Linked DNA regions of Xenopus tropicalis. The protein of the gene in region 1 interacts with the protein of each later gene in a biochemical or structural test. Links are inferred from orthologs where the notes say so. Each region holds a gene or a part of one and is shown in the gene's direction. Other genes may lie near its edges.

Region 1 (8,754 bases):
GGTCTGGGATTCCCCCAACTTCCCTCTGTACTTCTGACCACTCATCAGCTGTTGGTCTTGGCTATGCTCTGAAAAATGCTGACTCCCTTGAAGAATTCCAGTATTTATCTATAGCATTGTCACTATTCTACCCAAGTCCTGGCTGTGACCCAGTCTCCCCTCTGCGGCTGCCCAATGTCACTATTCTATCCAAATTCTGAATTGTGACCCAGTCTCCCGTCTGTGGCTGCCCAATGTCACTATTCTATCCAAATTCTGACTGTGACCCAGTCTCCCCTCTGTGGCTGCCCAATGTCACTATTCTACCCAAGTCCTGGCTGTGACCCAGTCTCCCCTCTGCGGCTGCCCAATGTCACTATTCTATCCAAATTCTGAATTGTGACCCAGTCTCCCGTCTGTGGCTGCCCAATGTCACTATTCTATCCAAATTCTGACTGTGACCCAGTCTCCCCTCTGTGGCTGCCCAATGTCACTATTCTATCCAAATTCTGACTGTGACCCAGTCTCCCCTCTGTGGCTGCCCAATGTCACTATTCTACCCAAGTCCTGACTGTGACCCAGTCTCCCCTCTGTGGCTGCCCAATGTCACTATTCTACCCAAGTCCTGACTGTGACCCAATCGCCCCTCTGTGGCTGCCCAATGTCACTATTCTACCCAAGTCCTGACTGTGACCCAATCTCCCCCCTGCGGCTGCCCAATGTCACTATTCTATCCAAATTCTGAATTGTGACCCAGTCTCCCCTCTGTGGCTGCCCAATGTCACTATTCTACCCAAGTCCTGACTGTGACCCAGCCCCCCCTCTGTGGCTGCCCAATGTCACTATTCTACCCCAGTCCTGACTGTGACCCAATCGCCCCTCTGTGGCTGCCCAATGTCACTATTCTATCCAAATTCTGAATTGTGACCCAGTCTCCCCTCTGTGGCTGCCCAATGTCACTATTCTACCCAAGTCCTGACTGTGACCCAGCCCCCCCTCTGTGGCTGCCCAATGTCACTATTCTATCCAAATTCTGACTGTGACCCAGTCTCCCCTCTGTGGCTGCCCAATGTCACTATTCTACCCAAGTCCTGACTGTGACCCAGTCTCCCCTCTGTGGCTGCCCAATGTCACTATTCTACCCAAGTCCTGACTGTGACCCAATCGCCCCTCTGTGGCTGCCCAATGTCACTATTCTACCCAAGTCCTGACTGTGACCCAATCTCCCCCCTGCGGCTGCCCAATGTCACTATTCTATCCAAATTCTGAATTGTGACCCAGTCTCCCCTCTGTGGCTGCCCAATGTCACTATTCTACCCAAGTCCTGACTGTGACCCAGCCCCCCCTCTGTGGCTGCCCAATGTCACTATTCTACCCCAGTCCTGACTGTGACCCAATCGCCCCTCTGTGGCTGCCCAATGTCACTATTCTACCCAAGTCCTGACTGTGACCCAATCTCCCCTCTGTGGCTGCCCAATGTCACTATTCTATCCAAGTCCTGACTGTGACCCAATCTCCCCCCTGTGGCTGCCCAATGTCACTATTCTATCCAAACCCTGACTGTGACCCAATCTCCCCTCTGTGGCTGCCCAATGTCACTATTCTATCCAAGTCCTGACTGTGACCCAGTCTCCCCTCTGTGGCTGCCCAATGTCACTATTCTATCCAAACCCTGACTGTGACCCAGTCTCCCCTCTGTGGCTGCCCAATGTCACTATTCTATCCAAACCCTGACTGTGACCCAATCTCCCCTCTGTGGCTGCCCAATGTCACTATTCTATCCAAACCCTGACTGTGACCCAGTCTCCCCTCTGTGGCTGCCCAATGTCACTATTCTATCCAAACCCTGACTGTGACCCAGTCCCCCCTCTGTGGCTGCACAATGTCACTATTCTATCCAAATTCTGAATTGTGACCCAGTCTCCCCTCTGTGGCCGCCCAATGTCACTATTCTACCCAAGTCCTGGCTGTGACCCAGTCTCCCCTCTGTTGCTGCCCAATGTCACTATTGTACCCAAGTCCTGACTGTGACCCAGTCTCCCCTCTGTGGCTGCCCAATGTCACTATTCTACCCAAGTCCTGGCTGTGACCCAGTATCCCCTCTGTTGCTGCCCAATGTCACTATTGTACCCAAGTCCTGACTGTGACCCAGTCTCCCCTCTGTGGCTGCCCAATGTCACTATTCTACCCAAGTCCTGACTGTGACCCAGTCTCCCCTCTGTGGCTGCCCAATGTCACTATTCTACCCAAGTCCTGACTGTGACTCAGTCTCCCCTCTGTGGCTGCCCAATGTCACTATTCTACCCAAGTCCTGGCTGTGACCCAGTCTCCCCTCTGTGGCTGCCCAATGTCACTATTCTACCCAAGTCCTGACTGTGACTCAGTCTCCCCTCTGTGGCTGCCCAATGTCACTATTCTACCCAAGTTCTGACTGTGACCCAGTCTCCCCTCTGTGGCTGCCCGATGTCACTATTCTACCCAAGTCCTGACTGTGACCCAGTCTCCCCTCTGTGGCTGCCCAATGTCACTATTCTACCCAAGTCCTGGCTGTGACCCAGTCTCCCCTCTGTGGCTGCCCAATGTCACTATTCTACCCAAGTCCTGACTGTGACTCAGTCTCCCCTCTGTGGCTGCCCAATGTCACTATTCTACCCAAGTCCTGACTGTGACCCAATCTCCCCTCTGTGGCTGCCCAATGTCACTATTCTATCCAAGTCCTGACTGTGACCCAGTCTCCCCTCTGTGGCTGCCCAATGTCACTATTCTATCCAAATTCTGAATTGTGACCCAATCTCCCCTCTGTGGCTGCCCAATGTCACTATTCTACCCAAGTCCTGACTGTGACCCAGTCTCCCCTCTGTGGCTGCCCAATGTCTCTATTCTATCCAAACCCTGACTGTGACCGAGCCTTTACTCTGTGGCCGCCCAATGTCCCCAGTTCGCAGACCATATGACCAGTGGGCAGGGATTTGGCCAGACTGTGAGAGGCGCTGACTTAGAGCCAATGGCGATTTGGGCAGCGCGGGTTGAACACAAAACCCCACACCACGTGTTCTCTCTAGCCTATAGCAGCTCCAGGCTGGTAACCGTCCTCCCGTAACCATAGAGTCGGACTATAGATCTGCATCCTTTTCTTTCCTGCGCTCCTTTCTATAACATAATCCCGCCTTTCCTCCCTCCTTATACTACGTCACTCAGCTTTCCTTCAGCGGTCGGCAGATTCCACATTTCTTAATCAGTAAAAGGGAAAATAAAAACCCACCCCTGCTGCTTTTATGTTATTAGTGGGTTACAAAGTGAGAAGCCGTGCTCCGTCCGGGGAAAAAATGGCTTCGCTTATTTTATGGTGTTTGTGTTGAAAGTGCCGCGTCGGAAAGTGGTGGTGAGGAAACCAGTCTGCGCTTTCAGTGGCTGCAGATTCCACTCTGCGCGGTGCGGACATAGGATTTTACTCAGCGCGTTTGTGAAGAAAACGAGACCGCTTTACGGCGGGAGAGGCAGAAAAGGCAAGAGGAATTAAATAGTCGGTGGGGAAGCCTGTGTGAGGCAAAGGGGGCAGGGCCGGGGCGAAAGCGGCAGAGCGGAAGGCAAGGCAGCGCCACCGGGAGGCAGCGAGAGAGGGATCCGGGGGAGAGACAGCTAGGGACACAGCGCGTCAGTCAGGTGAGAAGCAGGGAAATCAGCAGCGGAAATAAACACCGAGACACAGTGTGGAAGGTAACGGCGAGCGGCGGCCATGGCGGGGGAGGCCGGGAGTGAGGGGCTGAGGGCAGGGGCACAGGGGCTGCCCCGGAATGGGAACCTGGCGATGCGAGGGGCACAGGGGCACCCAGGGAACGGATACACTGCGCGGCTGCTTAGTGGGTAGGGCACACAGGGTATCCGGCCCCCCAGCATCCCGGGACCCCTGGGGGTGGGAAGGAGTAAATGGACAAAGGGCCACATGATACATTGTCAGTTCTGAGGTACTTTCATTTCGTACATCAGCTGGGGCCAACCTGCAGCCCCCCGGCTTTTACTTCCCTACTGCAGCCCCCCGGCTTCTGCTTCCCTACTGCAGCCCCCCGGCTTCTGCTTCCCTACTGCAGCCCCCCGGCTTCTGCTTCCCTACTGCAGCCCCCCGGCTTCTGCTTCCCTACTGCAGCCCCCCGGCTGTTACTTCCCTACTGCAGCCCCCCGGCTGTTACTTCCCTACTGCAGCCCCCCGGCTTTTACTTCCCTACTGCAGCCCCCCGGCTTCTGCTTCCCTACTGCAGCCCCCCGGCTTCTGCTTCCCTACTGCAGCCCCCCGGCTGTTACTTCCCTACTGCAGCCCCCCGGCTGTTACTTCCCTACTGCAGCCCCCCGGCTTTTGCTTCCCTACTGCAGCCCCCCGGCTTCTGCTTCCCTACTGCAGCCCCCCGGCTTCTGCTTCCCTACTGCAGCCCCCGGCTGTTACTTCCCTACTGCAGCCCCCCGGCTTTTACTTCCCTACTGCAGCCCCCCGGCTTCTGCTTCCCTACTGCAGCCCCCCGGCTGTTACTTCCCTACTGCAGCCCCCCGGCTTCTGCTTCCCTACTGCAGCCCCCCGGCTGTTGCTTCCCTACTGCAGCCCCCCGGCTGTTACTTCCCTACTGCAGCCCCCCGGCTTCTGCTTCCCTACTGCAGCCCCCCGGCTTCTGCTTCCCTACTGCAGCCCCCCGGCTTCTGCTTCCCTACTGCAGCCCCCCGGCTTCTGCTTCCCTACTGCAGCCCCCGGCTTCTGCTTCCCTACTGCAGCCCCCCGGCTTCTGCTTCCCTACTGCAGCCCCCCGGCTTCTGCTTCCCTACTGCAGCCCCCCGGCTTCTGCTTCCCTACTGCAGCCCCCCGGCTTCTGCTTCCCTACTGCAGCCCCCCGGCTTCTGCTTCCCTACTGCAGCCCCCCGGCTTCTGCTTCCCTACTGCAGCCCCCCGGCTGTTACTTCCCTACTGCAGCCCCCCGGCTGTTACTTCCCTACTGCAGCCCCCCGGCTGTTACTTCCCTACTGCAGCCCCCCGGCTGTTGCTTCCCTACTGCAGCCCCCCGGCTGTTGCTTCCCTACTGCAGCCCCCCGGCTGTTGCTTCCCTACTGCAGCCCCCCGGCTGTTGCTTCCCTACTGCAGCCCCCCGGCTGTTGCTTCCCTACTGCAGCCCCCCGGCTGTTGCTTCCCTACTGCAGCCCCCCGGCTGTTGCTTCCCTACTGCAGCCCCCGGCTGTTGCTTCCCTACTGCAGCCCCCCGGCTTCTGCTTCCCTACTGCAGCCCCCCGGCTTCTGCTTCCCTACTGCAGCCCCCGGCTTCTGCTTCCCTACTGCAGCCCCCCGGCTGTTACTTCCCTACTGCAGCCCCCCGGCTGTTACTTCCCTACTGCAGCCCCCCGGCTGTTGCTTCCCTACTGCAGCCCCCCGGCTGTTGCTTCCCTACTGCAGCCCCCCGGCTGTTGCTTCCCTACTGCAGCCCCCCCGGCTTCTGCTTTCCCTACTGCAGCCCCCCGGCTTCTGCTTCCCTACTGCAGCCCCCCGGCTTCTGCTTCCCTACTGCAGCCCCCCGGCTTCTGCTTCCCTACTGCAGCCCCCCGGCTTCTGCTTCCCTACTGCAGCCCCCCGGCTTCTGCTTCCCTACTGCAGCCCCCCGGCTGTTGCTTCCCTACTGCAGCCCCCCGGCTTCTGCTTCCCTACTGCAGCCCCCGGCTTCTGCTTCCCTACTGCAGCCCCCCGGCTTCTGCTTCCCTACTGCAGCCCCCCGGCTTCTGCTTCCCTACTGCAGCCCCCCGGCTTCTGCTTCCCTACTGCAGCCCCCCGGCTTCTGCTTCCCTACTGCAGCCCCCCGGCTGTTACTTCCCTACTGCAGCCCCCCGGCTGTTACTTCCCTACTGCAGCCCCCCGGCTGTTACTTCCCTACTGCAGCCCCCCGGCTGTTGCTTCACTACTATTCCCAACAGCCAACGAATTGCTGCTCATCCAAAGCTGGCTGGTGCAGGGTGGACTTTCCTTAATGATCTAATGCCCCCAAGGGGGCCCCAGGCTTGTCAGGGGCCCACTGTTCCCTGGGATACTGTGCTGAAGGAAGGGGCTGAGTGTAACTAGAAGACAGAGAAGAGTGGGGGGGGGGGGGGGGGGCATTGGGGAGACAGGCAGGGCAAGAGACTGGCCAAAAGTATGCTTAGAGATTCCCAGTGTGAAATTTAAGAGAAGCCATTTTGGCCCAGTGCTACAGGCAGCGAGAGAACCACAGAGAGTGAGACAGAGGGGCAGCTGGGAGAGACCGACACAGCCACATATCAAAGCCTTTACAGGGGCAGCAGTGGGGTGTTTAGTTATAGTGTTTGGCTATAGAGTGACACGCAGGAGACAGACATTAAGGGTTGTTTACTAGGGAATCTTTCTGACAGACAGGATGACATAGAATATATTTGCTAGGAGATTGCATGGAGTAAATACATTTCAGAGGAGGGGATAAAATTGTAAATCAAGAGACTGATGGACAAGGTTGGCAGACAGGCAATGAGAGTGCAAGAAATGGAAGAGATTTAATATTGAAGCTTGCAGACCGCACAGACCAACACTGAAGAGACAGACACCATGGGAAAGGAGCGCTTGCAGTGCAAAGACGGAGGTGTGTGACAGACAGAGGAGCACGTGGTGGAGAGAGCGTTCTAAAGGCAAACAATGGGAGTGAGCAAACAGACGGGTGCAAGAAACCAAGATGGCTGCACGTGACACCAAACAGAAACCCACAATCTGACTGGAGAGCGGGAGATTGTACTGTAAATTGTAGCAGTTTGGTTCCGAATAACCGACAGCAGCCGCTGGATTGAAACTCGCTGGATGATATAAGGACTTACTTTTATAGGAGGAGCGAGTGGCGCCATGTTATAGTAATGTCTGGGCACCAACGACAGGCCCGCGGCCTAAAAACAAAATGAGACAGTGACTGTCCGATTTCTAACAAGGAGCGTGTAGCAGTTTAAGGCAGTCAGGATCATTTTAAAGGCCAAGTCAGCCACACAACGAGAAAACATTTAATGGGAAGTAGTGGAAAAGACTAAACCAGATAAGCGCAGGGTTGAAATGCAGCACGGTATGTTCCATAAACTGTTGTACTGTCCCCTTACAGGTCAGATGTCCCCAGATGGAGCCCGAGGGCGAAAGTCACAGAGGGGCGGGCTTCCAGTGGAGGAGCTACAAGTTGCTGTTGGATCCCGCATTGCACAGTCGCAGAACAACGCAGAAAGTCTATCGCTATGATGGAATCCACTTCAACATATCCGTAAGGCCTTTACAGCCTGTGTCGGGGGGGTGGGGAGCATTATTATGAGTGGCTTCCCGCAGTTTGCGGTCTGTGATTATTGTTTTATTATTTTCTTTATAAAGGGGTAGTTCACCTTTAAATTAACGTTTAGTATAATGTAGAGAGTGCTGTTCTGAGGCAACTTGCATTTGGTCTTCATTTTTTATTATTCTCATTTTATAAATTTATTTAGCTTTTTGGTCAGCAGCTGCCCAGTCTGAAATTTCAGCGGCTATCTAGTTGCTAGGGTCCAATTTAACCTAGCAACTACACAGTGGTTTGAAAGAGACACGGGGTTATGAATAGAAGAGGGCATAAATAGAAAGAAGTCATAAAAAGGAACCATAACAATAAAATCGTAGCCTCGCAGGGCAACAGTTTTTTGGCACTGGGGTCAATGACCCCCCATTTGAAAGCTGAAAAGAGTCAGAAGATGAAGGCAAATAATTCAAAAACTATAAAAAATAAAAATTGAATAGCTTCTAAGACTAGGCCATTCTACAACATACTAAAAGTTAACCTATCCCTTTCTGATTCATCTTACTGTGTGCTGTTTAAGCTACTTCTTGGTTGTTAAGGGCAGTGAGCCTGGCAACCAGACAGCAGTTTAAATTCCAAACTGTATCCATGGCTAAGGTTTGGTAGGTTACTTCTCAGCCAGGGGTATCGTTTAATGGCTCAGTCGCTGAGTGATGTTATTGCTTTGCCCTTAGGATGGAGCATTCCTCCCACTGGGGGACGTGCGGGACCCCCGACAGCATCGCATGTGGAGCAAACCACGAGAGATTTCCCTCCCTGTTCCTAAATTTAAGGTATGCGGGTAATATCTGCGCAGAGCGTGTATTTCTGTGGGATGTGCTTTGTATTTCTGGGCTCTGTACCTCCTCTCATTGGGAGCGAGATTTCACTCTGTAACCCCCCCCCCGTTTGTTAGTTTGATGAGTTCTACGTGGGACAGCTTCCCCAGAAAGAAATCACTTTTGCGCATCTCAATGACAACGTGCGGGAGCCTTTCCTGGCCGACATGTGCCGCAAGTTTGGGGATGTGGAGGAAGTGGAGATACTGCTGCACCCCAAAACTAGGAAACACCTGGGGCTGGCCAAGGTCCTCTTCTCCAGCTCCAAAGCGGCCAGGGACACAGTCACTCACCTCCACAATACGTCTGTGATGGGCAACATCATCCACGCCGAGCTGGACCTCAGAGGTGAGGGGGCAACGGACTCGGTCAGAGCTATGTGGCCAGTAGTATTGGGACAAGTTTTTAGCCAAATGTTTTTGGTCTTAATTAAGATGTCAGAGTATTTAAAAATGGCAATTTGCCATCTGGCAGTCTAACGGGATTTGACAGGCTGCGTGCATAATGTTTGGCAGAGCAGCAATAATGGGCTGGGGCTGAATCCAGCGGTTGGGCTAGGCCCAAACAGCTCACTCGGTGGATTAGGATTTTTATATATATATATATATATATATATATATATATATATA
Region 2 (8,816 bases), on another chromosome or scaffold:
ATACCCCCAATACCCCCCCATACCTTTATATCTCCTCTTCATAACCCCAATACCCCCACAGATACCCCCACAGATACCCCCATAGCCTTTATATCTCCTCTCTCATACCCCAATACCCCCACAGATACCCAATACCCCCCATACCTTTATATCTCCTCTCTCATACCCCAATACCCCCACAGATACCCCACAGATACCCCATACCTTTATATCTCCTCTCTCATACCCCAAAACCCCCACAGATACCCCAATACCCCCCATACCTTTATATCTCCTCTCTCATACCCCAATACCCCCACAGATACCCCAATACCCCCCATACCTTTATATCTCCTCTCTCATACCCCAATACCCCCACAGATACCCCCACAGATACCCCCAATACCTTTATATCTCCTCTCTCATACCCCAATACCCCACAGATACCCCACAGATACCCCCATACCTTTATATCTCCTCTCTCATACCCCAATACCCCACAGATACCCCAATACCCCCATACCCTTTATATCTCCTCTCTCATACCCCAATACCCCCACAGATACCCCAATACCTTATATCTCCTCTCTCATACCCCCACAGATACCCCAATACCCCCCCATACTTTATATCTCCTCTCTCATACCCCAATACCCCCACAGATACCCCAATACCCCCATACTTATATCTCCTCTCTCATACCCGCAATACCCCCATACCTTTATATCTCCTCTCTCATACCCCAATACCCCCACAGATACCCCAATACCCCCATACCTTTATATCTCCTCTCTCATACCCCAATACCCCCACAGATACCCCAATACCCCCCCATACCTTTATATCTCCTCTCTCATACCCCAATACCCCCACAGATACCCCCCAATACCCCCATACCTTTATATCTCTTCTCATATCCCCATACCCCACATACCCAACCTTTTATCCTCTCCATACCCCACAGATCCAATACCCCCATACCTTTATACTCCTCTCTCAACCCAATACCCCCACAGATACCCCCACAGATACCCCCCATACCTTTATATCTCCTCTCTCATACCCCAATACCCCCACAGATACCCCCAATACCCCCCATACCTTATATCTCCTCTCTCATACCCCAATACCCCCAAGCATACCCCCAATACCCTTTATATCTCCTCTTCATACCCCAATACCCCCACAGATACCCCAGGGATACCCCAATACCCGCCCCATACCTTTATATCTCCTCTCTCATACCCCAATACCCCCACAGATACCCAATACCCCCATACCTTTATATCTCCTCTCTCATACCCCAATACCCCACAGATACCCCAATACCCCCATAACCTTTATATCTCCTCTCTCATACCCCCAATACCCCCACAGATACCCCCACAGATACCCCCATACCTTTATATCTCCTCTCTCATCCCCAATACCCCCACAGATACCCCCACAGATACCCCAATACCCCCATACCTTGTATATCTCTTCTCTATACCCCCACAGATACCCCAATACCCCCCATACCTTTATATCTCCTCTCTCATACCCCAATACCCCCACAGATACCCCAATACCCCCCCCATACCTTATATCTCCTCTCTCATACCCCCACAGATACCCCAATACCCCCATACCTTTATATAGCCTCTCTCATACCCCCACAGATACCCCAATACCCCCCATACCTTTCCTATATATCCTCTCATGCCCCAGCTACCCCAATAGCCCCCATACCTTTCCTATATATCCTCTCTCATGCCCCCAGCTACCCCAATACCCCCCATACCTTTATATCTCCTCTCTCATACCCCAATACCCCCACAGATACCCCAATACCCCCCATACCTTTATATCTCCTCTCTCATACCCCAATACCCCCACAGATACCCCAATACCCCCCATACCTTTATATCTCCTCTCTCATACCCCAATACCCCCACAGATACCCAATACCCCCATACCTTTATATCTCCTCTCTCATACCCCCACAGATACCCCCATACCTTTATATCTCCTCTCTCATACCCCACAGATACCCCAATACCCCCATACCTTTATATCTCCTCTCTCATACCCCCACAGATACCCCAATACCCCCCCATACCTTTATATCTCCTCTCTCATACCCCAATACCCCCACAGATACCCCAATACCCCCATACCTTTATATCTCCTCTCTCATACCCCCACAGATACCCCCATACCTTTATATCTCCTCTCTCATACCCCCACAGATACCCCAATACCCCCCATACCTTTATATCTCCTCTCTCATACCCCCACAGATACCCCCCCATTCCATATATCTCCTCTCTCATACCCCCACAGATACCCCCCCATTCCATATATCTCCTCTCTCATACCCCCACAGATACCCCCCCATTCCATATAGCTCCTCTCTCATACCCCCACAGATACCCCCCCATTCCATATAGCTCCTCTCTCATACCCCCACAGATACCCCCCCATTCCATATAGCTCCTCTCTCATACCCCCACAGATACCCCAATACCCCCCCATACCTTTATATCTCCTCTCTCATACCCCCCACAGATACCCCAATACCCCCCCATACCTTTATATCTCCTCTCTCATACCCCCACAGATACCCCAATACCCCCCCATACCTTTATATCTCTCTCTCATACCCCCACAGATACCCCAGTACCCCCCTTACCTTTATATAGCCTCTCTCATGCCCCCAGCTACCCCAATAGCCCCCATACCTTTCCTATATATCCTCTCTCATGCCCCCAGCTACCCCAATAGCCCCCATACCTTCCTTTATATCCTTTCTCAAACACCCCAGTTACCCCCATACCTTTATATATCCTCTCTCATATCCTCAGCTACCCCAATAGCCCCCATACCTTTATATCTCTCTCATACACCCACAGCTACCCCAATAGCCCCCATACCTTTCCTTTACATCCCCTCTCATACCCCCCAGCTACCCCAATAGCCCCCATACCTTTATATCTCCTCTCTCATACCCCTACAGATACCCCAATAGCCGCCATACCTTTATATAGCCTCTCTCATACCCCCACAGATACCCCAATAGCCCCCATACCTTTATATAGCCTCTCTCATACTCCCACAGATACCCCAATAGCCCCCATAACCTTTATATCTCCTCTCTCATACACCCACAGCTACCCCAATAGCCCCAATACCTTTCCTTTATATCCTCTCTCATACCCTCAGCTACCCCAATACCCCCCATACCTTTCCTTTATATCATCTCTCATACCCTCAGCTACCCCAATAGCCCCAATACCTTTCCTTTATATCCTCTCTCATACCCCCAGTTACCCCCATACCCCCCCATACCTTTATATATGCTCTCTCATACACCCACAGCTACCCCAATACCCCCCATACCTTTCCTTTACATCCTCTCTCATACCCTCAGCTACCCCAATAGCCCCCATACCTTTCCTTTATATTCTCTCTCATACCCCCAGCTACCCCAATAGCCCCCATACCATGATATATCCTCCCTCATACCCCCACGGATAGCCCCCATACCAATATAGATACTCTTTTATACCCCCACAGCCAGACCAATAGCCCCCATACCTTTATATATCCTCTTTTTTTAACCCCACAGCCACACCAATAGCCCCCCATACCATTATATCCCAAACAGCCACGCCCCCTCAGAAAGGTCTCCCTATTGGCCACAATGTTTCCCCAAAAAATCTACAGCCCCACTACTGCCTGTACTGTTACACAATGCTCACACGTGCACAATAGGAGAACCCCATACCACATATAAATACATTATTCTGGAAAGGCTTCTGGTACAAATAGTAGTAAATAAGTAATAAATATTGCTAATTATGTCCTTTTCTTTGTTTACAAACACCTAGCCTGCATAGTGGGAGTGGCCATCTGCTAACTCAAGGGGCCCCATTCCAGTTCTTGCACCATGGCAACAGAAGAAAAGAAACCCGAAACTGAAGCTTCCAAGACGCAATCCACCCCATCCTCGTCCAATAATCAGAGCAAGGTTGGTATTCTTCTACATGTGGAGCGGCCAAGATGCTTCCAGTAAGGCTTTGGGTGTTACTTTTGTGTGAAATCCAGCAGTTATGGATCATTAATCCTGCTTATAAAGGGTAATGTTAAAGGGGAAATATATCCGCCTCTGGCTTTTTAAATATACCCTTAATATAAAGGGCCTCTTATAGGTGGGTAGTGTAGTAGGGTTATAGGATCCAAAGGGTTACATATTCTTTTCCTACTTAAATATACATCTTAGAAAATTAACTTTTAGTAAGAGGTCCCAAGAATTGGCCATTCTGTAACATACTAAAAGTTAAAGGGGATGTCAACCCAAGATAAAATATTGACTAAAGAAAATGTATTTTCAAGCAACTTCCCAATATCCATTCATTCCCCATTCTCACTGGGTTTATAGTTATGTGTAACTGTCACTGTGTCTGTCCCTTTCCCTTCCCTGCACTGCTGGTTCTGACTCCTGATACAACTCCCCAATACCCATTCATTCCTCATTCTCACTGGGTTTATAGTTATGTGTAACTGTCACTGTGTCTGTCCCTTTCCCTTCCCTGCACTGCTGGTTCTGACTCCTGATACAACTCCCCAATATCCATTCATTCCTCATTCTCACTGGGTTTATAGTTATGTGTAACTGTCACTGTGTCTGTCCCTTTCCCTTCCCTGCACTGCTGGTTCTGACTCCTGATACAACTCCCCAATATCCATTCATCCCTCATTCTCACTGGGTTTATAGTTATGTGTAACTGTCACTGTGTCTGTCCCTTTCCCTTCTCTGCACTGCTGGTTCTGACTCCTGATACAACTCCCCAATATCCATTCATCCCTCATTCTCACTGGGTTTAATAGTTATGTGTAACTGTCACTGTGTCTGTCCCTTTCCCTTCTCTGCACTGCTGGTTCTGACTCCTGATACAACTCCCCAATATCCATTCATTCCTCATTCTCACTGGGTTTATAGTTATGTGTAACTGTCACTGTGTCTGTCCCTTTCCCTTCCCTGCACTGCTGGTTCTGACTCCTGATACAACTCCCCAATACCCATTCATCCCTCATTCTCACTGGGTTTATAGTTATGTGTAACTGTCACTGTGTCTGTCCCTTTCCCTTCCCTGCACTGCTGGTTCTGACTCCTGATACAACTCCCCAATATCCATTCATTCCTCATTCTCACTGGGGTTTATAGTTATGTGTAACTGTCACTGTGTCTGTCCCTTTCCCTTCCCTGCACTGCTGGTTCTGACTCCTGATACAACTCCCCAATATCCATTCATCCCTCATTCTCACTGGGTTTATAGTTATGTGTAACTGTCACTGTGTCTGTCCCTTTCCCTTCTCTGCACTGCTGGTTCTGACTCCTGATACAACTCCCCAATATCCATTCATTCCTCATTCATATACTGAAATATGGCAGTAGATCCTCACCCAGGGTTGGGAGTTTTATGAATTTAAGTTGAATTGTTTCTGGTTTCTCATGAATACGTTCGACTCAACCAACTTTTGGGTACTTTCCAATACGCGGCTCTGATGTTTGTAGAGAGATGAAATATAGGGGGTGGGTGCTGAATGTGACAAATTTCAGGTTTGTGCAGCGGTTACATACAACATGGCTGCCTGCCCTGGGGGCTCCCTGTCACTGTAGGGGGCTGTTTTTTATTTTAAAACTATTGTTTCCCCCAACTCTCTGCCTCAATGTCTGCAAAATACATTTCTGAAATCCCCATTTTTCTCTTCTATTCATAGCCTGCACCAGTAAAGCCAAATTACACGCTAAAGTTCACCCTCGCCGGACACACCAAGGCCGTATCATCTGTAAAATTCAGCCCGAACGGGGAGTGGCTCGCCAGTTCATGTAAGTGACATTCCACCTATCGTTATGTCTTTGCCCTAAAGAAACTACAGTGTCACTTTTTTGTTCTTTTCAGCGGCCGACAAGTTAATCAAAATATGGGGGGCGTACGACGGCAAGTTTGAAAAAACCATATCCGGCCACAAGTTGGTAAGAACCTTTTGTTGTTATTGCTCGCGTCTAGCCGGTGTTGAATTCCTGTAGCACCATATATTTAAATTCCACCAGCGTCTGCTTCGTGTAACATTAAACCCATACTGTTTTGCACCTTATCCCCCCAGCGCCGTGCAGCAGAAGCCAATTAGAGTTTGCATTTGCCAGACACCTCCCCAGGGGCCTCCCTAATTTATAGACGGGCTTGGGGATTTCATGTGTTTTAATTTGGCACTGGTTAAGAAATATAAACCCCCTTAATCAAATCCGATTAGTGAAACTTTTATTTATTTATTCTTTTTATTTTTATATTCAGGGAATATCTGATGTCGCCTGGTCCTCTGACTCCAACCTCCTGGTTTCTGCTTCTGACGATAAAACTCTAAAAATCTGGGACGTGAGCTCGGTGAGGCCTGATTGACTTACCGTTGGGAAGAATATGTTTTTGTGTTTCTTCATTGAGGGGTAAAATGATAACACAGGATACATTCCCTATTTCTCTTACATCATGGGGGACACAGGAACAGCCTAATTGCCTCGTTAATCCAGTGGGCAAACGTGGCCTTGGTAGTAGGCAGAGCCTCTCTAGAGGCTAGGCCTAACCTCCTGTCCACTTAAAAAGCTGAGCCCTGTTGGCTAAGCAAAAGGGTTAAAGAAAAGAGGGAGGAGCAACAGTTATGACATCACTGCAGTGTCCTGCCTCCTGGTAGGAGGAGCCCTTTACCCCACTCTTCCTGTGTCCCCCTAACGACTATAGAGAAAAGGATTTAACGGTGTGTATATAAATCTTCCTTATTGAAGGTGAGTCCATATTACCCACTGCTTCCATCGGAGCTATCAGTGGTGAAACTAGCTATACAGCAGACCCAGCGGTCACGGGGGGCCTGGGTGACAGGGGGGCCGTACTGTGGGGTCTGCTGTATTGCAGTCCCCCCCCCCTCATCCTTTTTTTTTTTTTTTTTAAATAGTTGGGGTCAGGACAGGAGGGACTGTTCTCACCAGGCCCCCTTAGAAGATTTGTTTGCAGGGGTCGGCCACCTTGCCCCTGCACCTTCCCCCCCCCCCCCCCATGTGCAGTTCCGTCAAACACGGGGGATCATTGCCCCCACCACATAATCGTAATGACAAGCAGCCAGGGCAGTGACAAGGGAATGCGGACTAAAGGCTCCTGCCTGGCGCCCCCCAATCGTTAAGTGCCTCTTCTGCCTACCCCTAGTTCCAGCCCTGGCAGGAGAGCCCCGGCACTATGCCCATATATGCCACGGTGGGGCGTTAGGGGCGTATTTCTCAAAACACGAGTTCAAATCCCGAATGGGAAAAATTTGGATTGGAAACGAAAATTTCTGAAGATCGCAAATATAACGAAAATGTGCTTACGAAAAAATCGTATTAGTCACGATAATATCATATTGGCGATCCGAAAGTCACAATTTTTGTACCGAACGATAGTAAACAGCAGCAAAACTGATTTTGTTCATGCTAAAAATACGAAAAAAGTCGTGCAAGGTGCAAAAAATACGATTGGATCGAACGAACGCACCAAGTGTTCGTAGATAAGTAAATGTGCCCCTTAGTATGTCTTATTCTTAGCAACTTTTCAATTGGACGTCATTTTTTTTTTTTTTTTAATTAACTTTTTATTAAACCATATGCTTTCCTCTTCTGCCTCTATCTCACTAATTTGGGTTCATTAACCCCGGAAACTTGTTCTACTATCATTTTTAAAAAACCTATATTTTTTGCCTTTTTTTTTTCTACAGGGAAAATGTTTGAAGACCTTGAAGGGGCACAGTAACTATGTATTCTGCTGTAACTTTAACCCGCAGTCCAACCTCATCGTGTCAGGATCCGTAAGTTGATGAGACTTGAGTTGTTTTTTTTCCCCTCTTGGTTTATATATAGGGCCACTGAACGTTCGTAATACTTCTCCTTACTGCCATGTTGTTTATAAGAGAGAACTGTGACTGCCGCTCACCAATCCCTGAATCTATAATGGCCGAGAAATCTTTTACCTGCCGCCGTTATCATGATGCTTTTGAAATCAGCACAGACTGCTCACGCGTTCAAAGTCCATATGTTATAAATGGGACATAATGACTGCTGGTGATACTGTGGGGGTTCTGAGTTCTGATATCTACTGATCAGTTTAACTTCCAATTAGGGCTTTTAAAGGACAACTAAAACCTCCTACGGAACTAGTAGAGAAACCACAGGCTTTTTGCATAGGGCTTACTGGCCATACCCTTTCCTGGATATCATTGGCATGTTCAGCAGCTCTGGGTATGCCCTATCCCGGGGGTTACGGGAAACAAACACGTTTATAGGATTAATTTATACCATATCCGGAAATCACTTTCTAATGGTTTCTAATTTGACCTTTCTTTTTTTTTTCAGTTTGATGAAAGTGTAAGAATATGGGATGTGAAAACTGGGAAATGCCTGAAGACGTTGCCTGCTCATTCTGACCCCGTCTCTGCTGTAAGCATATTGTACAGGGCATAGATGCACGTAGGCCCATGGCAGCCATTTTTTTTTCTGGCACTGGAAATTCCATGTCCTGGTTTCAATTTTTTAATGCCTTGTGCTGTGCGGTAGCAGGTAAAAAGAACAGCAGATTAGGGAAATGTCCCCAGCATGTGAGGCTTCAGGTGTGGCTTAATAAACTATAGTAGGGTTTCTGTAGCAAACACCCCAGCTGTACCAGTGCAGGAACGGCTGCCCCCGGGGCTACACAGCGGGGTATTTATATAAACTATAGTAGGGTTTCTGTAGCAAACACCCCAGCTGTACCAGTGCAGGGCATTATTATAGT
Region 3 (7,776 bases), on another chromosome or scaffold:
CAGTTTCTCAGTTAAACTTACCCTAGTCACTCTAGTATTATCTTATTATGTTCTGGTTGTGCTTTACAGAGTAGTTGCTTTGTCTATGTCTCCTGTGGATGATACGTTCATTTCTGGGTCATTGGATAAAACCATCCGGTTATGGGATCTTCGATCGCCTAACTGTCAGGTGAGTAATTGTCTGATCACTATTTTAGTATTTAGTTATTTGCGTAATAACCTAAATGTTGTAAGTTAACTTTGGCTTGCTTTGTCTCCTTGTTTCCATGCAGGGGCTAATGCATCTTCAAGGAAAACCTGTATGTTCATTTGATCCCGAGGGTCTCATTTTTGCAGCTGGAGTAAATTCAGAGATGGTCAAGTTGTATGATCTTCGCTCTTTTGATAAAGTGAGTTTTGTAACCCAAAATTGAGTTTTAAGTTCTTCCCGTGTCCACATGGCTGCTCCTAGTTTCTCTCACTATCCCAAAAAAATTAGGGATGCACAGAATCCACTATTGCACTATTGTAGGATCATTTGCAAAAGATTTGTCCAATACTAATCCGAATTAAATCCTAATTTACATATGCAAATTGGGACCAGAAAGGATAAAATAGATAAAAATCAAAGTCATGTGATTTTAAGCATTTGGTTTGTCCAGAGGCATGGTTTCAGCCAAATCCCAATCCTGATGAAAAATACAGAATCCTGGACCAAATCCTGGATTTGGTGCATCCCTAAAAAAATAAATACAGGCAGGTTAATTGGTTCCTAAAAAACATTGACTTTACTGTGTGTAAATGCAATTGGGTTGTACACTCCATTTGGGCAGGGACTTAGGTGAATATTCCATAATCTCTGTAAAGCAATGTGGAAATGGCAGGTTCTATATAAATAATACATTATAAATGTCTGCAACGTTACGTTATGCTTATAGATGTATTATAAATGCCTCATTGAGCAAGGAATGCTTGTACCAGAGGTGAATGTCTCTGTTTAACATGTGGCTTAAGACTAAAATTTAGGTCATATCTGCAGTTTATCAGGGTTGCTCAGTGGCACTGATTTTTTTAATCCTTTGCTAGTATGTTATAGTGTAAAGCTGCACCTAACAGCTTCTTACGTAAGCTTGTGATCATCCATCTTGAGCCATCCGAATCTCCCCTTCCTTCCAAACTCTCCCATTTATTTAGGGAAGCAAATTCAATGTATCTTGATTAAGTGCTGCGTAATTTGCTAGTGCTATAAATAAATAAATAGATGATGATGATGGTGTCAGACTGAATTGAAAGGAGAACTAAACGCTAAAAATGAATTTTATATACTGGACTTAATCCACCAGCCTAAAGGTTCAGCATTTCTGTAAAAGTAATGATCCAGGCCTTCAAAGTTGTCACATTTTCTGACTGTCACTTTGGGCTTAAATTAAACAAAATGCACAGTGTCCCTTTTCATAATAGTGATTGACCAACCTGGTACAATATTGCTTATCACAGGGTCCATTTGCAACCTTCAAGATGCAGTATGATCGAACCTGTGAGTGGACTGCTCTGAAATTTAGCAATGATGGGAAACTTATCTTAATGTCAACCAATGGAGGCTTCCTTCGTCTGGTTGATGCTTTTAAGGGGGCTGTTATGCACACGTTTGGGGTGAGTAATTTTTTTTTTCATTAAAATGGCCTGAACAGGTAGAGCCCTTATGACTTCTTGTCATTAAACTTACTGCTGTGGAATATATTTGCACTTTATGATGAATACGTTACTAAATAACAAACTTATAATGAATTTTTTATTAGGGCTACAACAATAGTAAGGCTGTCACCCTGGAAGCTACCTTCACTCCAGATTCCCAGTTTATTATGATCGGTAAGTTAGAAGAAAACATTTATTAATATCCCAACTATTGTGCAATATCCACTCCTCTCACTGGTTCATCTCAATCTCTGTAGGCTCAGAAGATGGCAAAATTCATGTTTGGAATTGTGAGAGTGGTATGAAAGTAGCAGTGCTGGATGGCAAACACACAGGTCCTATCACATGCCTACAGTTCAACCCCAAGTTCATGACGTTTACTAGTGCTTGCTCAAACATGGTAAGCACAATCATATTCTTTGGTTGTTATAACTGGCACTTTATACAGCTATTGTTGCATTATCAAGTTATTAATGTCTTCTTGTAGGCTATGAAGTCCCAAAGTATACAGTTTGTGGCTAGCTTTAGAATCTATGAAAATCCTGTGGATAATTGATTCTAACAATCTTACATTGCAGGCTTTTTGGCTACCAACTATTGATGACTGATGCATACAGAGAAGCTGGCATTTGTAAAAATCCCATTCTTCAGCTATTTTCCACAAATAAATCTTCACAATGCCCGGATATATGAAGAACAAGAAAATGGTTATTTTTTTTATTCTTCCATAAAAATACCCCAGTATTGAGCCAACATTTCTCTTTGCCAAAATAAGAACTGTTCTTCGGTACATATCAAGATTTATGAACTTCTGTTTTTTACCTTCATGTACTGGGCACTTATTTTGTGGAATGGTGTATATATTTTTGTCATGTTTCTCCTGACGAACCTGTATTTGAGACACATGCTACCAATCTCTCTTTTTATATCCTTTATATACGCTTCCATCTGTATTTGTTCTTTGGAGCAGGATTTAAATGTTCACTATGGTAAGAATCCACACCAACCTTGTTACACCAGATATTACACCAGAGGTAGATTTCATGGTGGATGACGCACTAAATAACCGGCTAAACCAGATTCTATTTAGATACCCTCTCTGTCCAGAGTTAAAGGCTGGCAAGAAGCTACATCTGTTATTGTTTTGGTTAATTTTAAGAGAAATTTTATTAATGCAGTGCTCCTTCCTTATAGGCTCTCTCTCCACACCTGTAGTTACTGCCACAAGTATTACACAGATGTGCATCAAATCTACACAGACATATTCCTATAACACAATCCCATGTTACCAGAAACAGCAATTTTGACTCCTTCATGCAGTTGATTTAAACTGGAATTGCTTTATATCATTTATTATTGATTTCTGTGTTTCCTTTGATTGTTGAGAGATGCTGGATGTGTTTAATAGCCAACGGGCCGCAGGTTAAGCATTGTCCATCTGTTTTCTATTTCAAGTCAGTACTGGTAGCTTTGTGGGGAATTTGCTTATTAGTGCTGCCCCAATTTGTTTAGATCAGGATTATGATTCTTTCATTAATTGGTTAATCTATTTGGTAATATAATTCATAAGTAGCAGAACAGTATATATTGCTCTCATATTCTGTAAGCAGCATTATTAAACGGGCATTATTAAACTGGCACTAGTATTAAGAACTGCCTGGGTTGGCATCCACACTACCAGCACTGCATTGGCCTGGCTGGCATAGGACAAGTAGCTTCTTTCTTGCCCACAGACAATCGTAGCTAGCTGAAAGTGAAATACGTAGGTTAAAGGGCAATCCATATATACCACTGAATTCAGCTTTTAAGAAAACATTATGTGGTTAATAACCTTGTTAATAGAGGACCCAGGAAAAGTCTGGGATCTGTTTTGTGACCACAAATTGGTTGGAAATCAAATATACACTTCATTTTAATTACTTTCTGTTGTTCATTATCTTAAAATGAGTCACATAAACATACCAAAAGCAGCATTGGGTTCTTAACCATAGATTAACAGTTCCTGTTGGGGGAATGGTGATATTGTTTGCCTCGGTAAAATCACTCTACATAGACTAAAAAATAGCACAATCTAGGAGTCCTAGTTAATGTTGGTTTGCTATCAGTATAATAGCGTTATGTTTTATTTATATAATAAAAAGAAGCCCCAAACTGTCATCTTAAATTAAAATTAATGCAATACCCTATTTGGAAACTAGGTGTGTTTGGCCCTTTAAGATCTTGTGTCAAGTAAGCAGTAGGTGAAAAGATTTTACACTTCAAGGAAATGTGTATTTTACAGCTCCAGAATATGATAGTTTATTTTTAACCACACAGAACCTTTTTAAAAAAAAAAAATAAACAAAAATATTGTATGGTTTCCTCATGTCAAGGAAGCCTCATAAGCAGTATTCAGTATTTCAAAATAAAGATATTCCACAGCATAAAGGATTTATCTCACTGTCTCATATACATTTGAGGATTGTGCATGTAAATAAGAAATGGATTAAACCATTACTGGGGAGCTAAGCAGTGTGCAGCTGTTTCTTGTAAATTATGTTTTTTTACATAAATAAAATATTAAAACAACTATGTACTGTTTTATTTGAGTAATGTGTTTAATATCTTTAATGCCCAATACACAGATGGTAAAAGTGCACTTGACACCAGCATGTCAGAGCACGTTACAATTTGGTATTGTGTCTTAAATAATCAGATTACTCTTTCCCCTTTTAGCAAACCTGTCTCTCTACATGCAGCATTGTCGGTTATTTTGAAAGATAGCTCTTATACATTATCTAGGCAATGGGGGTTATGACCAACGATGTGTTTGACTTAGCTGTCCTTCAAAATCTGTCCTTCAAAATCTCGTGCATGTAGAAAGGCATTGCTAGGAAGGGGATAGTGAAGAGTTATTCAATTATTTCATAAAACTGTGTAAAAGTTTTGATTATATTCAGAATGTTTTATTTCTATGAGATAAAGTTTATATTACAGTTTCACTATAGTTCCCCTGTTATACATTGTGATGGCCTATTAATAACCAACATATTAACTTGATATATAGAGAATGTCCTGCCCTTAAAATAATTCACACCAGCAACATCTGGGTCATAATAGGCCCCTAGTACACAGCATTTTGTTGTCCACTGCAAACAGGCCAAATGGGACAAACTGTCCACCACTTAAGTGCCAGGTGGCATTGGTGAACTTAATGCCCAATGTGCTAGAGGCCTTAGTGCAACACTGGTATATACTATACTGATTCCCTTACTATACCAATAGAGGATGTCCTGTCATTGCAACACTTACTACAGGTTTACACATGGGAGTTTGGGTTTCGGAGCTTTAGTTTTTCTTTTCGTCTGTAGCGGAGAAGCATGAGCACTCGCAGTGGCTTTTATGGACTTGCGTAGCTTCAAAAATTGTTATTTCAAAAGCATATACAGGTATAGGATCCCTTATCCAGAAACCCGTTATCCAGAAAGCTCCGAATTACGGAAAGCCCGTCTCCCATAGACTCCATTTTAATCAAATAATTCAGAATTTTAAAACTGATTTCCTTTTTCTCTGTATTAATAAAATAATACCTTGTAAGTGATCCCAACTAAGATATAAATAATCCTAAACAATCCTATTGGGTTTAATTAATGTTTTATTAATTTTTTAATAGACTTAAGGTATGGACATCCAAATTACGGAAAGACCCCTTATCCGGAATACCCTTGATCCCGAGCATTCTGGATAACGGGTCCTATACCTGTACTACAGAATGAATGTGGTGGAACCTGTGGCTGGGCCTTAGGGCAAATTTGTCAGTTCCAGTAGCAGGCAAACATTTATACAGCAGCAACATAACCTACAGGTTTGTACATAAGATGGCTGTGTGCACTAAACATACATCTTACATACCAAAAAGAACCTATAATTGATTCAAACAGAGGAGCCAACCAGGATGACTTGTTGTCCAGATGGCCACGCCTGCTACAGCTAAAGCACTACAGGCCAGACCCCCTAATTGTATACATTTATCATGTATAAAAAATATTTTAAAATAAAATATATTTGTTATTCCCCATAAGGAGCCCAGATCCTGTACCCTACAGCTATCTCCCCTACCCCTAGGTGTAAACCAACCAGCCTTGCAAATTGGTACCTCAGATATTAAAAGGGCGTTTTTTCCCGCCCCTATAAATACTATCCAATCACAGCAGTACCAGCGGGGTCACATGATCAGTATCCATCCCAGTGTACGGCGCGGCTGGGCATCCTAGCAATACATATCGCAGCGGTTATCTTCTGTGGTTCTGGGGCAGCTCCTATAGCGGCTGCAATCTCGTTAGCGCTCAGTTCCCTTTTGTTATTGCGCAACGCGAACTTAAGTTGAGCTCAGAGCCCCGCCCCTGACAGACGGCGGAAATTCAGTTCTGCTATGCCCCCAAAGGAAGCACTCGCTTTTATTAAATAGCAGAGGCCACGCCCCTTAAGCCAGAGGCACGCCCCCCTACGTAGGCCCGGGAGCCGCTCCCTAACCTGAAGCTGTCAGCAGCCGAACGATGGCCCATCAGACCGGGATCCACGGTAACTGCTCTTTCGCTTTGTCCCCACAGCCGCCCCCTCACTGGCACGTATGGTGTGGGTGTCACTGGCTGTATATGTGTGTGTGTGAGCTGGATGGGAGTATGCGCTGTATGCCTGGGTGTGCGCTGCCTCACCTAGTGCCCTGGGGCTACAGCTAGCCAGTGTGCGGCTTATGTATACATGCTTGCCTTTCTCCCTAGCCCTGTGTGTATGCGGCTGCCCTACCTGTTACTAAATGCCACACAGCATATTATATACAGCGCTATATACCGCTCAATGGGAAGGGCCGGGCTCTGAGGGAGGCAATAGATTTTGCTTTCATTTTACTTTCTTGTGGGAAGAAATTGTATCTCCCTGGGACATTAAATTAAAAAAAAAGATAAGCAACTTTCCCTTATGCACAGATTAAACATTTTCAGTGTTATTAAATGAATGTGCAAATGTAATTCTGATTCAAATCATTATTTGTTTATCCTTTGCTGTTCTCTGGTACTGACTCTTGAAACAATGTAGCAGGAGGTAGTTCTTTAGGTTCATTAATCAGATGGCTTTTTGCTGCACTGTTTCAGGTGTCAGAACCAGTAATGCATAGAATACAAGCCAAAAGGCATACAGCTTTCAGTAGCAATTGCAGTTAACTTTAAAAAACATTTATTGTTAATTATTGTATATTGGAAAGTTGCTGAGACACTCTGCCAGTGGCTGCGGATTCCAGCAGCTCTCTAGGGTAGGATTGGGTTTTTTTTACCTTTAAAGGGTGGTTCACGTTTAAATTAACTTTTAGTTTGATGTAGGCATTCATTTTCTAAGACTGTTTGCAACTGGTTTTCATTTTGTATTTTTTTTAAGGTTTTTGAATTGTTTCACTTTTTGCTCATCAGCTCTCCAGTTTGGAATATCAGCAGCTTTTGTGTTGCTAGGTCCAGTTTACCCTAGCAGCCAGGCAGTGGGTTGGTGAACAAACCCTTTAAAGAACAGCAACACTTTAAAATGCAGTAAGGGCTGTGGCAGACGGGGAGATTAGTCTACCGATGGGCCTCCCTGACCAAAATCTTGCCTGAAATTTGGTTTTTACGTTGGGTCTGGGACATAATCGACTCGTTGATGCGGTCCCTAAACCAACAGTGCCTATGCCCACCTATCGAGACAAGATCCGCTCACTTGGCGAGGTCTAACAGTGTATGGCCACCTTTATTCTGCAGCTGTGATTTTCAGCCTGCCTAGGATTCCTTACAAAACTTGTGGTAGCTGTGCAAAATCCAGAGGTTTCTCACTTATGGCAGTGTGGTTGCAGTGTAACACTATCTTGTGCAGTGTCTAAGTATTTTTCAAATCCATACAATTGGCCTGAAGTGCCAAAATAGTTCCTGGGTTTGCACTTATACTTACATGGGGAAGACAGCTATAGTTTTTCAACTAAAGGTGGCCATACACGCACCGATATTATCGTACGAAACCTCGTTTCGTACGATAATCGGTGCGTGTATGGCATGTCGGCGAGTCGACCGATATCGCAGGAAGCTGCCGATATCGGACGACTCG

The links.
Region 2: the proteins of setd1a (region 1) and wdr5 form a complex in vitro, tested with the Homo sapiens proteins (4 studies listed by BioGRID, with this or other methods). The link is inferred for Xenopus tropicalis from reciprocal best matches to the Homo sapiens genes SETD1A and WDR5.
Region 3: the proteins of setd1a (region 1) and wdr82 form a complex in vitro, tested with the Homo sapiens proteins (2 studies listed by BioGRID). The link is inferred for Xenopus tropicalis from reciprocal best matches to the Homo sapiens genes SETD1A and WDR82.

Annotation. Positions count from the first base shown.
Region 1 is NC_030685.2:5,882,750-5,891,503, reverse strand, and holds the start of setd1a (histone-lysine N-methyltransferase SETD1A), read left to right. Parts: upstream 1-3,155; 5' UTR 3,156-3,322; coding exon 3,323-3,361; exon of another isoform or gene 3,362-3,485; intron 3,486-3,491; exon of another isoform or gene 3,492-3,696; intron 3,697-7,094; coding exon 7,095-7,247; intron 7,248-7,981; coding exon 7,982-8,080; intron 8,081-8,202; coding exon 8,203-8,473; intron 8,474-8,754. UniProt on the Homo sapiens protein: Histone methyltransferase that catalyzes methyl group transfer from S-adenosyl-L-methionine to the epsilon-amino group of 'Lys-4' of histone H3 (H3K4) via a non-processive mechanism.
Region 2 is NC_030684.2:8,197,416-8,206,231, reverse strand, and holds the start of wdr5 (WD repeat-containing protein 5), read left to right. Parts: upstream 1-3,867; 5' UTR 3,868-3,910; coding exon 3,911-3,991; intron 3,992-5,745; coding exon 5,746-5,854; intron 5,855-5,927; coding exon 5,928-6,001; intron 6,002-6,320; coding exon 6,321-6,410; intron 6,411-7,764; coding exon 7,765-7,854; intron 7,855-8,398; coding exon 8,399-8,482; intron 8,483-8,816.
Region 3 is NC_030680.2:128,234,440-128,242,215, forward strand, and holds the end of wdr82 (WD repeat-containing protein 82), read left to right. Parts: intron 1-69; coding exon 70-169; intron 170-272; coding exon 273-389; intron 390-1,476; coding exon 1,477-1,632; intron 1,633-1,778; coding exon 1,779-1,848; intron 1,849-1,931; coding exon 1,932-2,074; intron 2,075-2,252; coding exon 2,253-2,282; 3' UTR 2,283-4,242; downstream 4,243-7,776. Other genes in the region: twf2 (twinfilin-2), read left to right, coding at 6,210-6,234. UniProt on the Homo sapiens protein: Regulatory component of the SET1/COMPASS complex implicated in the tethering of this complex to transcriptional start sites of active genes.